Linked DNA regions of Arabidopsis thaliana. The protein of the gene in region 1 interacts with the protein of each later gene in a pairwise test. Each region holds a gene or a part of one and is shown on either strand. Other genes may lie near its edges. The genes, in order: LOS4 and IPK1.

Evidence for each region.
Region 2: the proteins of LOS4 (region 1) and IPK1 interact in a protein complementation assay, tested with the Arabidopsis thaliana proteins (one study listed by BioGRID).

Annotation. Positions count from the first base shown.
Region 1 is NC_003074.8:19,684,665-19,691,161, forward strand, and holds LOS4 (P-loop containing nucleoside triphosphate hydrolases superfamily protein), read left to right. Parts: upstream 1-3,075; 5' UTR 3,076-3,204; intron 3,205-3,301; 5' UTR 3,302-3,303; coding exon 3,304-3,540; intron 3,541-3,644; coding exon 3,645-3,938; intron 3,939-4,016; coding exon 4,017-4,244; intron 4,245-4,371; coding exon 4,372-4,437; intron 4,438-4,830; coding exon 4,831-5,229; intron 5,230-5,326; coding exon 5,327-5,435; intron 5,436-5,518; coding exon 5,519-5,607; intron 5,608-5,690; coding exon 5,691-5,759; 3' UTR 5,760-5,997; downstream 5,998-6,497. Other genes in the region: AT3G53100 (GDSL-like Lipase/Acylhydrolase superfamily protein), read right to left, coding at 325-518, 671-926, 1,078-1,311, 1,392-1,522, 1,638-1,878; VPS37-1 (Modifier of rudimentary (Mod(r)) protein), read right to left, coding at 6,065-6,225, 6,306-6,426. UniProt on the Arabidopsis thaliana protein: ATP-dependent RNA helicase essential for mRNA export from the nucleus. Plays an important role in the positive regulation of CBF/DREB transcription factors.
Region 2 is NC_003076.8:17,164,707-17,171,226, reverse strand, and holds IPK1 (inositol-pentakisphosphate 2-kinase 1), read right to left. Parts: upstream 4,526-6,520; 5' UTR 4,155-4,525; coding exon 4,053-4,154; intron 3,698-4,052; coding exon 3,485-3,697; intron 3,401-3,484; coding exon 3,253-3,400; intron 3,173-3,252; coding exon 3,132-3,172; intron 3,050-3,131; coding exon 2,939-3,049; intron 2,849-2,938; coding exon 2,258-2,848; intron 2,040-2,257; coding exon 1,890-2,039; 3' UTR 1,768-1,889; downstream 1-1,767. Other genes in the region: U2AF35B (Zinc finger C-x8-C-x5-C-x3-H type family protein), read left to right, coding at 1-782; DFR (dihydroflavonol 4-reductase), read left to right, coding at 5,363-5,480, 5,572-5,741, 5,822-6,016, 6,095-6,254, 6,334-6,520. UniProt on the Arabidopsis thaliana protein: Phosphorylates Ins(1,3,4,5,6)P5 at position 2 to form Ins(1,2,3,4,5,6)P6 (InsP6 or phytate). Phytate is a regulator of intracellular signaling, a highly abundant animal antinutrient, and a phosphate store in plant seeds.

The DNA.
Region 1 (6,497 bases):
ACCAAAATTCTTGCTGTAATCAACCTTAGAAATGTTAAAGAGGTAGATTCGGAACAAAAATAAAATACCAAAGATTGTGATCTTCTCAAACAAATCTTGGACCTATAGACCCATCAGGCCATCACACAGTGACACAGACCAGATTGGTAGTTTCTACATTCAGTCACACACACGCACACACAATCTGTCTCTTATTTGTGAGTTACATATATAGAGAGAGAAAGAGAAAGAGAGAAGAGAGAGAGATAGAGAGAGAGAGACAAACTTTGGTAGCTATTTGTAGGTATACAGTTTGAATTCAATCCAACTGGAATGAAGCTCAATTCAATTGATTAGAGAAATCCCTTGACCCAGTAGTTGACCAGCCAACAGCTCGTTTACAGCCTCTGTGGGATGAAATCCATCCCAAAACACATATCCTGTGGCATTTACACACGTTCCGAAGGATAGAGAATTGCAAAGGAACGATGTTTCTATTGTCCCTGTTCCGCAGCATGCCCTTTTTGTTTCAAAGAATCCTAGAATACATGTAGTTTAGACATTTAATAAGATGTTAATGGTATCTTGTTAGTTGCTAACTAGATTAAATATCTGAGTTCTTCTTCCTGTGAATAGCTCACTCTATCATGGTCTAAAGTTGAATGAGGATTTAGATTTTGCAGGTGTGTACCATTGTCAGTTGGGTTGGTGATGATGTCCAGGAAAGGTTGGTAGACATTAAAGGCGACGAGTCTGAGGCCTGAGTGTCTATTCATCAGTAACCGGGTTGTGTTCTCAAGTTTAGTATTGAACATGATAGCATCATTGTTCAGTCTCTCAACACAACTTTTGTTTCCTGCACCGAAAAGAGTGATAGCTGCAGGCAGGCAACCCATCGGCGGTAGCGATATCACTCCGATTCTCCTTGCTCCTAGTTCATACAGATTCTGTTACAAGTGACAGTATGATTCTTGTTCACACAAAAAAGGGTAAATAACTGATACGATTTTTTTGTGTTTCTTGTAAATTTGCACATTCATATGGTTGCCTTATTATGAATATCGAGTTCTACAAGTTCGTTACTAAACTTAGAAGTACCTGGATGAATTCTGAGAAGGATCTCAGGAGAATGTCAGCGAACTGATCAGGTGTATTTAGGATGTTGAGTAGAGGATTGATGTAATAATTCTGAAGAAAGTCGCTAGATCCCGCACTCAAAATGTGGATACCTCTAGAGAACAGTATGCGCGCGTTCCCCCTCCCGATCATTCTCGTTACTCTATTTTGATACGCCCTGTAATAGCTCAGCTGTCGTGTTAAGGAGATCGAGCCCTGCAAAAGGAAGAGTAAAACCTTATGGATCATTTCTTGGGTATGTGTGTAATGATGTTTGACTGTGTTGTCTCCTTTACAAATGGAACAGATGTGGCATCATAGTATCCTGAAGAAGCTGATGCAAAGTTGGCACCGATCAGGATATTCTCGTTGCTTGCTTCCCGGCTTAGGAATGCAGGTGGGTATGAAGAGAAACCAAGGTACTCGGCTAGACACAAGTAGGCAGATTAAAAAACCAATTAGATTAGGAAGAGAGAAAAAGTATTTGAAGGTAATACTTGATGGAGAGATAGATATATGTGGTTTTGTGAGAAAGACTTTACCTGAGAAATCTACAGCGAGTTTTCCGTTGCAGAATCTTCCGGTGGGTCTTTGGTCGATGAAGTCTCTACCGTAAGGAAGAAAGTTGGATTTGACAATGCTGAGTAAGTTATTGTTGTTGCCAACGTCAACAATGGAGTCGCCAAACATGATGAGTGCAGGAACAACAGCTCCTTTGGATTTGCAGAAGAAACAAGAAACCAAGAGAAGAACTCTAAACCCCGAAACTCTCATCTTTTGCATTCCTTTTCGTTCCTGTCTAATGCAATCAGGTCGTTAGGACAAATAGAGAAGAGAGAGAAGCAGAGAGAAAGAAATAGAGAGTAGTGGTGAGAAAATGGAGACTTAAGAAGATGATGCATGTTATACAAAATATAATCATTCTCCCCATGCTTATGTTTAAGATAAAGAAAACGCATTTGCTAGTGCAATAGAGTAGGTGGAAATTGTTTATGAGGTCAGTCTCTTTGGTCATTGATCATGGGACCATGATCAGTAATATCTTTGCATCCTCGAACATAAACTTCCGTCATATCGCGAAATTTCAATTCGGGCCACGCGTGGAGGCTTTGGTTTGAAGGGTAGCTCTATCAATAAAAATATGGGTATTGGGGAAATCATCTAATCTTGATTGATTGATTGCTCAATACTTCAATAATCTAATTTTGGTTTCTGTTGAACCGTTGGAGGCATGAATATAAAATTCTGATAGGATACAGTTTTCTTGATAAGAGATGATATGTTTGAGGAAATCAAAGTGTGAGCTCCACCAACTTTTAGTTGTTGTTCTTGTAATAATGTATTGGGTAATGTGGCATCCACCTCAAAGATTGTGGTTAAACCATCATGGTTTTTTCTTTTCCTTTCTTCTTTCTTCTATTGTGCTTAAGCCATCATGGTTTATTTCCTTTCTTGTACATAGAAAAGTCATAAGCTTTTTAAAAAAACTTATGAAGAATATTACAAGGAAAAAACAAGAGTTTGGGCCATATCACCACCATGGAAGTAAAAATCTCTACTTGGTACAAGACCCAAATTAGTAGAAAATGGCTTCTTTTGTAACAAATTTGGACTGTTGGGCCATATTGTTTTGTTTATACATAAATTAAAGCCCAAAATGATTTAGTTGGGTCGTCTAGAATAAACCGAACTATTAAAAAATCATTGGTAGAGTCGGTTATGTTATTTCAATTGTGGCTAGCATGAAATTAAGTTCAATTATTTTACATTTTTACTATTAAGCTTCATATTCTTACGTCGAACCGAATTGAAATTAGAGAAAACAGAAAGATAAACCGAATTATAAACAAAAACAACATAGACTAGAGTCGGTTTAATCACGTGTAGCTTATAAATTAACATCAGTAAATTTCCATTTTTACTAGCAGCTTGAAATTAACGTCAGTGATTTTTACAATCCTTGACTAGTAGCTTCAAAGTAAAGCAGCAACTCTTATTTATTTGGGGTTTTCACTTTTTCCCCAAAATTGTCTCCGACTTCAAACATAACACAAATCGTTCATCGTCTTCCTTCTCTCTCTCTGATTCTCTCATTCGCGAATTTCAAAGGTTCTACTTCTCTCAGAATCTCAGCTCTTTCACGAATCAATGGAGAAGTTAAGATGAATTTGGGTTTCTAATTTGATTGGTTTTTTGTTGGCTACAGCTATGGCGGATACGGTAGAGAAAGTTCCCACCGTTGTTGAGTCATCTTCATCATCCACCGTTGAAGCATCTAATAGCGCCGAGAAGACTGAGCCCACGACGGAGAAGAAAAAGTGGGGCGATGTTGAAGATGATGATGATGAAGAAGAAGCTGTATCGGAGCTTAATTCATTGAGCATTAAGGAAGAAGAGAAACCTGATTCTATTCTTGAGGAACCTGAAGATTCTAACATCAAAGCTGTATTACTTCAATTCCCTCTCTCTCTTTGATCCTAATTACAGTCTAGGGTTATTAGATTTTCCAGATTCGTTTGGTTGATTTTGAAATCTGGTGTTTTTTGAAGGTTACTTCTGGTGACACACCATATACATCAGCAAGTAGATTTGAAGACTTGAACTTGTCACCTGAATTGATGAAAGGCTTGTACGTTGAGATGAAATTCGAAAAGCCTAGCAAGATCCAAGCTATTAGTTTGCCTATGATAATGACGCCGCCACACAAGCATCTGATTGCCCAGGCTCATAACGGATCTGGAAAGACGACTTGTTTCGTTCTTGGAATGTTGAGTCGTGTTGATCCCACATTGAGAGAGCCTCAAGCTCTCTGTATTTGTCCCACTAGAGAATTAGCTAATCAGGTTTGTTTAGTTACTCTGATTTTGGTTATGATCTGAGAGTAATCTGATTGTTGACTTCTTTTAATGGTTGAATGACAGAATATGGAAGTTCTTCAGAAGATGGGGAAGTTTACTGGGATCACTGCTGAGTTGGCTGTGCCTGACTCAACGAGAGGTGCACCGGCGGCAACAAGAGGAGCTCCTGTTTCTGCTCATGTTGTGATTGGCACCCCTGGAACGCTTAAGAAATGGATGGCATTTAAGAGACTAGGTCTAAATCATTTGAAGATTCTGGTTTTTGATGAGGCTGACCATATGCTTGCTACGGTATGCTCTTTCTTCTGTTTTACTTGGTCTTGTTATTTTCTCAACTGTAATGATTTAACTTCTGTATAATGTGATTATATTTTCCCTTCATATGTTGTTGATAATTGTTAATTCATTGCTGTTGCAGGATGGGTTTAGGGATGATTCCTTGAAGATAATGAAAGACATTGGGAGAGTTAATCCCAATTTCCAGGTCTGTTTAACTAGTGTCTGATTTGGTCATGCTTCTTGAATTATAAGTAGGATGACAGTTGATATCTAGTGGCATATCTATCGTGATATCTAGGGGGCACAAGATAGTCTACTGAGCTTATAGTTATACTTGTTTCAATGTTCAGAAGCTCTTAGTAAATAGAAGCACCTCAGCTGTGTTTTTTTCTGTTGTTTAGAGCCGTCATATCTTAAGATGACATATATGTCTGTGCTAAAATGATTATGAATATCTTCACTGCAGAAAGCTGTACTAATGACTGCTTGTGTTTCACTATATTTATGGCTGTTAATCTCAATTCAAAGGAAACTCTTTTTCTTTCTTTCTCGTGCTAGATTTGATTGTGTGCTTGTGTTCTTGACCTATTTTCAACAGGTTCTTCTTTTCTCGGCAACTTTTAACGAAACTGTCAAAGATTTTGTTGCGCGGACAGTCAAAGATCCCAACCAATTGTTTGTCAAAAGAGAGGATCTGGCTTTGGACTCGGTGAAGCAGTATAAAGTTGTTTGCCCGAAGGAGCAAAACAAGATCGAAGTCATCAAGGATCAGATTATGGAGCTTGGGGATATTGGGCAAACCATTATCTTTGTGAAAACAAAAGCGTCTGCTCAAAAGGTGCACAAAGCCCTTGCGGAAATGGGATATGACGTTACCAGTGTCCATGGTAATCTGACTGAATCGGACAGGGATAAGATAGTTAAAGAGTTTAAAGAATGCCTTACTCAAGTGCTCATTGCTACCGATGTCATTGCAAGAGGTTTTGACCAACAGCGGGTAAATATTGTCCTTTGAGCCTTTTCCTTTCTTCTCGTTTTACCTCAAAGATGCTTCGTAGTTAATACCTCTTGTTGGTTATATACAATACTTGCAGGTGAATTTGGTTGTCAATTATAATCTTCCCACTAAATATGAAACTGGAGAGCCAGATTATGAGGTGTACCTTCACAGGGTTGGGAGAGCTGGCCGGTTTGGTCGCAAAGGTGAGTTTTGATTCTTCTTTTTTTCTTTCTCAAGTGTTTCCATAAGTTCTTATCAGTTTCTGAACTATGTATTTGTATTGTAGGAGCGGTTTTCAACTTGCTGCTTGATGATGGCTGGGATAAAGAGGTGATGGAGAAGATCGAGAAGTATTTTGAAGCAAATGTTAAGGAGGTATTATAAGATTTCTGAAAACTGCTATATATCTTTCAAGTGTTTGTTAAAACAGTATCCAACGATTTTAAACTTTGCTGCAGATCAAGTCGTGGAACTCAGAGGAAGAGTATAAGAGTGCATTAAAGGAAGCTGGCCTGCTGGACGAGTGAGGAAGAGAGACAGCATGTGTTCAAACCATCTTAAAAGACTATGTCGTCTGTTTTCTTGAGATTGTTTTAAGAAAGAAACTTGTATACCTCTTTGAGGTTTTCTTGTAATCTTTTTATCTGATTGCTGAGAGTTTCAGACTTTGTAGATTTTTTGTTAAGGGAAAAGGAAAACATTTTTTATGTCAATGTCAATCACTTTAGTATGAACCTAAACAGTAAACAGCAAAGCATTTTTTTTACAACAATGGGTAAGAGTCATAATACACAACCAAAGTCTCGAATTCAATGTGTAAAGCTTTTTAATCTCAAATGTTTGACGTTTTAGCGGCAAGATGGATCAATGCTCGTCGATGATAGGTAGTACGAAGCTTCTTGTATTTCTGCACAAATGCTGCTGTATCAATCTCCTTCTCTAGGAACTTTTCTTGCAGGGCTTCGGATTCTTCATCCACCTGATTCATAGCCTCTGCAAAACAAGTAAAAGGTGTTTAGAACAGTAGAGAAAATGAGACGAGGGGAGAATCCATTGCAATGGTAAATTGTTACCTTGAAGTTTATGAAGAAGAGAACCAGGGGAGTAGAATTTGAGGATCTCTTCTTTTTGCCTCTCAAGCTCATTAAGCTTTTCTTGCGCAGTTGCGAGCTCAGTTGTACGGATAATTCTGCACTGTAAAATAAGTAAAGACTGGTAAATCAGAGATATCGAAAAGGTATAACATGGTAAAACTGAACAAGAAA
Region 2 (6,520 bases), on another chromosome or scaffold:
TTGGTGCTTGTCGTCACGGTGACCGGTGCTCACGGCTTCATAACCGTCCCACCATCTCGCCGACGCTTCTCCTCTCGAACATGTACCAGAGACCTGACATGATAACTCCAGGTGTGGATCCTCAGGGACAGCCGTTAGACCCGAGTAAGATCCAAGACCACTTTGAGGATTTCTACGAAGATATTTTCGAAGAACTCAACAAGTTTGGTGAAGTGGAGAGTCTCAATGTTTGTGACAATCTTGCTGATCATATGATTGGGAATGTGTATGTTCTGTTTAAGGAGGAGGATCACGCAGCTGCTGCGTTGCAGGCTTTGCAGGGGAGATTTTATTCCGGTCGTCCTATCATTGCTGATTTCTCTCCTGTGACGGATTTTAGGGAAGCTACTTGTAGGCAGTATGAAGAAAACAGCTGTAACCGTGGTGGGTACTGTAATTTCATGCATGTGAAGCAGATTTCGAGGGAGCTTAGGAGGAAATTGTTTGGGAGGTATCGTCGTTCATACCGTCGGGGAAGCAGAAGTCGAAGCAGGAGTATAAGCCCTCGACGTAAGAGAGAGCATTCGCGAGAGCGAGAGAGAGGGGACGTTAGGGACCGTGACCGGCATGGAAATGGGAAAAGGAGCAGTGATAGATCAGAGAGGCATGATCGGGATGGTGGTGGAAGGAGGAGACATGGAAGCCCGAAACGGAGCAGAAGCCCACGAAATGTGAGAGAAGGAAGCGAGGAAAGGAGGGCGAGAATTGAGCAATGGAACCGAGAACGTGATGAGGGAGTTTAAGGGTATCGTTTGGGCTGATTACTTCATAAAAATCGGTAAAATCTTGTAATGGATATTCATTTGGTGTTCTTTTTTTGAACTTGAAAAATGAGTGGCATGAACTCCTTAGATGATGTAAGGTGTTTACTGTATTTTGTAGAATTTTTGTTTAGAAACTAGTTCGTGAGGCAAATGATGGGTTCAGTTTTTCTAAGTTAATGTGGTAATGATCCCTTGGTTATTGTTCTTTATGATTGTCCCTTGCAATGTCTTCTTATAAGGTTTAAACACTTTGTATTGTTCGGGGAAAGAGATAAATGTTGTACGATTTTTTTGGGTGGATTGAATGAAGAAACCGAACCCAACCCAAATATTAACCCAAATATTATAAATACCCGAATGGGTGCTATGAGCCTAAACCCAAAAAACCCGAAGCGTATCGGAGCGTGTATTCGAATGCCAAGCCCTAGTCAGTTTTATTATTGTTAGTGTCCACTTTTCATGTTTAATGGATTTTGTTCTCGATAACTCAAAAAGTTATTATTTACAAGTGTGGTATCAGAGCATGGTTCATGATGCTACGGGAAACCATTTTCAATGTTTTATTAAGTAAATGTGTCGCAAAAGATGTTAGGAATTGGTTCAATCACTTGCTAAAACTTAAGTAGATGGGATTATATGACTTATCCTTTTTGTTGTGTTGTAGTATGCCGCCAAAGAGATCTCATGGTTGTGATTCAGTGGGAGAGGAGGGACGGTCCATGGGTCTGCCACCCCAAAGATACTATCTTTTGTGAGAGAGTGGGGAGACAGTATATCGGAAAACCGCTGACAAAATTTTCCATAGAAGGAGCAACAACAGTGGCTAAGCTCCACCATCTTTGTATGTACAAGCAATTCTGGCAAAACTTGACAGAGAGCATTCTGGAACAGTAAAATATCTCCAGGCAACGGCTCCATGCCGAGAGAAGACCAGGGAGAGAAAGAGATATAGAGTGAAGGAGATATAGTTCCAACAAATTTTAAGTTTAAGAAATGAACATTCATCTTTTAGGGCTTTCTTTATTATGTTCTACAACAACAGTAACCAAAAAAAAGAGAGCTAGTGGTATTGAGACGATACATGACTTAGCTGTGGGAAGGTTTTGAGTTGCCGATTTGTTCTGCCGTGTTTTCGGCTTTCTGCTTCCGATTGTAAAAGCTAATTATCTTCTTATCCAATTTGTAGTATGACTCCATTCTCTTAAGTGGTTTCAGGCTTAGATCAATGAAATGTACCTACAGTTACATAAATCAAATATCAAACAAATATAACAAAATGAAGAAACCGATTATATGGTTCCTGAGAACTCAACGTTTTCTAAGGAAATTTCTGTTCTTATAATGATTCGCGGATCCCACATTTTATTTTTAGAGAATTGTACCAATGATCTCAGCAAATATTATTAATAGTTCTTTCACCATATAAGACAAGAATGTGTTAAAATGGATCATACCTTGTAATCAAACGTTTGATTGGTCGGTTTTAGAGAGACGTAATCACCCGAGGGTTCTGAATCCCAAGCATTCCTTGATTGAAAACTGATCATAATACTACAGTCTTTGGCAGTTGCAGCTATCAAATACTCCTTCACAATCTTCAAGCTTTCATCTAAAGGTAAAGCATGTAGAGACAATTCCGCCTCCAGTGGCTTACCTTCTTTACATATAGGACAAGGCTGGTTGATTAAATCGTAATACGAATGAATCGCTCCTTCAATGTCTAATTTGTCTAGCTTCTGAATTTCAAGAAGTCTATCAAGAACTCCTGAGCCATAGACAGCGTCAGATACTAGTTGTAGAAAGCACTCTGTCCTATGACCGTCTTCTGATTGAATGAAGCCTTTGAGAGCATCCTCAAAGGCATACCCGATTTCGGGGCTGGTTCTCCCGGTGCTTTCACCTGAACCCCCTAATATGAGAGAACCATTCAAGAATACGCGGAAATTGTTTTGAGGAGTGGAATATAAAGCTTTTATAGCTTCCAAAACACTCTCTTTTGATCCAGAGAAGAGATCAAGAGGATCGTACTCGCTTTCTTCAGATATCTGTAGAATGGTGACATACTTATTAGACATTTCAGCAAATCACAATCTATAGACCATTAAGATTTTATACTAACAATGACTTGCTTTTACCTCGTTATATTCCAACTTTAAGAGTTGATGCATTTTGAAACGGCTTACGCTTGTTTTGAGCATGTTTTCTTTACCTATGAACCTTGAGGTTGGAAGAAATCCGCATTTGGGCTACTTCATGGAATTAAGGACAGTGAGTTTAGGTCAAGCATGATAAAGAGAAAACTAAAACAACCCAGAGGATTTATCAAACCTTTATTTCAACACTAATGCAATCACCACCGCTAGAAATACCTGACACAGATAACACCATATAGTTACGACTAATTTTTATGATCATGAAAAAAGTCCGATTTCTTATAATAATAGGTTACCTTGAGAAAAAAGTGAATGATCATTCAATATAAGGGCAGAATCATGACTCGTATCAACATTTGCTGCATTAACACGCCATAGCGGACGCTGCTTAGTTACTTTCTTATCAACACACTCAAGAAACTCCTTGGACACAGAAACACGTACCTACAATACTCTAATCATCAGCTTACCAAGAAGCCATAAGTATCTAAATAAAACCAACAAAGACCATTTGATAATATTACTTACTCCAGCATCAACATGTTTAGGACCCAAGAGTGGGATGATCACATTCTTAACATATCTTTGTTCAAGAACTTCCTTGTTTGGTGATGAAATCAGCTCATTGTTTTCTCTCCATAGATGTTGCTCATCGCTTGTTAAAACCGAAACAACACCATTCGCATTCTTGATTGCTTTATCATTCCTCCGAGCCTTCTGTATACGAATCACTTTCCCAACCTAATCAAAGTTCAGAGATAATGTAAAAGATTGGTCAAACTTAAACAAACCAAATCCAATTCTGTACAAAACATTTTACTGTTGAACATTGTGTTAACTCTTTAGACACTAATCAATCTGAGAAGATAAGAATTATACCAACACTGATTCTGATTCTGATTCTTCATAGAAGAAGAGAGCCACTAAAAAAGAATCTATATCCAAGTTTCTAACTAGAGAATCTAAACCAAACTTTTATAAAGCTAAAAAGTCAATGACGGCGAGAATCTGAACTACTTTTTTTCAAAGTTCATCAGACTTGCTTTAACTTTTACAGGATTCAAAAGGAAGAGAGATCGAAGAAGAAGAGACTAACAAAAAGTGGAGAAGATCCAGCGTAAGCAAGAACGAGATTGGCACCACCTTCGCCTCTGTAAATCCAATCTGATGCATCTTTCTCCTCCAAAATCATCTCCATGCGATACAAAATTCTTCGATTTTTAAAATCGAAATCAAGCGAAGATCTGATCAAATCAATTCACCAGAATTTTGCTAACGCAATGCAATTGAATAGAGAACGAAGATTTCTAGTGGTTGAAGAAGAAGAAGGAGAGCTTTGAAGTATTCTTCTCTCTCTGCGTCGAGCTCAAACGTGGTGGTGGACTACACCAAAGACGCTTGGCTTACTTTGTCTCTCTGTTTGGAGGAGAGTCAAAATTAAGCTGACCTCTTCTCTGACGTCTTACGATACAACAAATTGAAAATACAAGAGTTATATTGATTCTGTGTTTTAGAATCCACGTGGACGAGGTAACCACCACGTGTTATTTCTTACTTTATGAGATTAAGTGATTCACTGTCCTTCTAATTTTATTTTATTTTCTTTGCGAAAACTGGAAATAAATAAATTTTTGAAAACAATATTTTAACATATCAATTATTTTTATAATAATTCGTGAAATAATAATGAAAAAGCTGACATGGGACACAATTGGATAATTACATCTTTTAAAGTTTTAGTTTATGTATTTTATGTAAATGCTTATAATATTTAGATTGCAATAAATCTAGAAGTCATATTTATAAATTAATATGTTTTATAATTTTACAATTTTGTAATAAGAAACTCCTAATTCATAAATCTAAAATATAAACATATTTTTCATTTAAGCTTTTCCAAGATTTATAATTATTTTAGGTGTCTGATTTTTAGATTTCAATTAAAATTAAAATATTACTTAAGTAAAATGTATTTCTGTATATATTCTATCAAAATGTTAATTTGTTTAGACAAATTTTGATTTATTTCGTAAAAGTGGGTGGGGAACAAAAACAAAAACAAACTGAACTGAAGTCACCCACACGTCTCACCAAACAAATCGAAGTCAACGTATTTCACCCACCGGTACAACAACAAAATACACACCTAAGGAAATAATAAAATCAACTTACCAGATTGTTACGTACCACACATCTCTTTAGTCCTTCGTCAACCAACGTTCCCCACGTGCTTCTCCGGTTGGTACTCACGTGACCGGCAGCTTCTCGTTCTTATTATCTGTTTTCTTCAATAACGATTCATAATCTCTAGTGTCTTATTTATAATGTCTTCACATCACAAAGATTTGTACCGAACATACATAGTTGAATCTTTCCCAAAGCACAATCTATCATATAACCACAAAAATGGTTAGTCAGAAAGAGACCGTGTGTGTAACCGGCGCTTCGGGTTTCATCGGTTCATGGCTAGTGATGCGATTACTAGAACGTGGTTACTTTGTTCGTGCCACCGTTCGAGATCCCGGTACATATCTATATGTTCTTACAAACTCATTTCTCCTAAGATTATGTATATTAATATAACGTTTATTTACGGGTTTTTTTGGATTGTCAAGGTAATTTGAAGAAAGTACAACATCTTCTTGATTTGCCAAACGCCAAGACGCTACTCACTTTATGGAAGGCTGATTTATCTGAGGAAGGAAGCTACGATGATGCCATAAACGGATGTGACGGTGTTTTCCACGTGGCAACACCCATGGATTTTGAATCAAAAGATCCTGAGGTGAGTTTCTCTATATTAGGAAACTTCTTTTGGTTTTTGCGTCAACCTAGCTTAACTTGACTTTTGTATTTGCGAATCAGAACGAAGTGATAAAGCCGACAGTGAATGGAATGTTGGGGATAATGAAAGCATGTGTTAAGGCAAAGACCGTACGAAGATTCGTATTTACTTCATCTGCCGGAACCGTTAATGTAGAAGAACATCAGAAGAATGTCTATGATGAAAATGATTGGAGTGATCTTGAGTTTATCATGTCCAAAAAGATGACAGGATGGGTAAGAATATACATATTAATTAAACTCAAGTTACGGTTTTTTGAAGTAATTTAAAGTTCATATATATTTGTGTGGCAGATGTATTTCGTGTCAAAAACGTTAGCGGAGAAAGCAGCGTGGGATTTCGCCGAAGAGAAAGGATTAGATTTCATTAGTATTATTCCAACATTGGTGGTCGGTCCATTCATCACAACGTCTATGCCGCCTAGCCTTATCACCGCGCTCTCTCCTATCACTCGTACGTGTGTGTGCTTCTTCTTTTGTTGGAAATGTGAAAATGTTAAATCTAAAACGTTGAATATATTATAATGTTTTAGGGAACGAGGCGCATTACTCGATCATAAGACAAGGACAGTATGTGCATTTGGACGACTTATGCAACGCTCATATCTTCTTATACGAACAAGCAGCCGCCAAGGGACGTTATATTTGTTCCTCTCATGATGCAACCATTCTTACTATCTCCAAATTTCTCAGGCCAAAATACCCCGAATATAACGTACC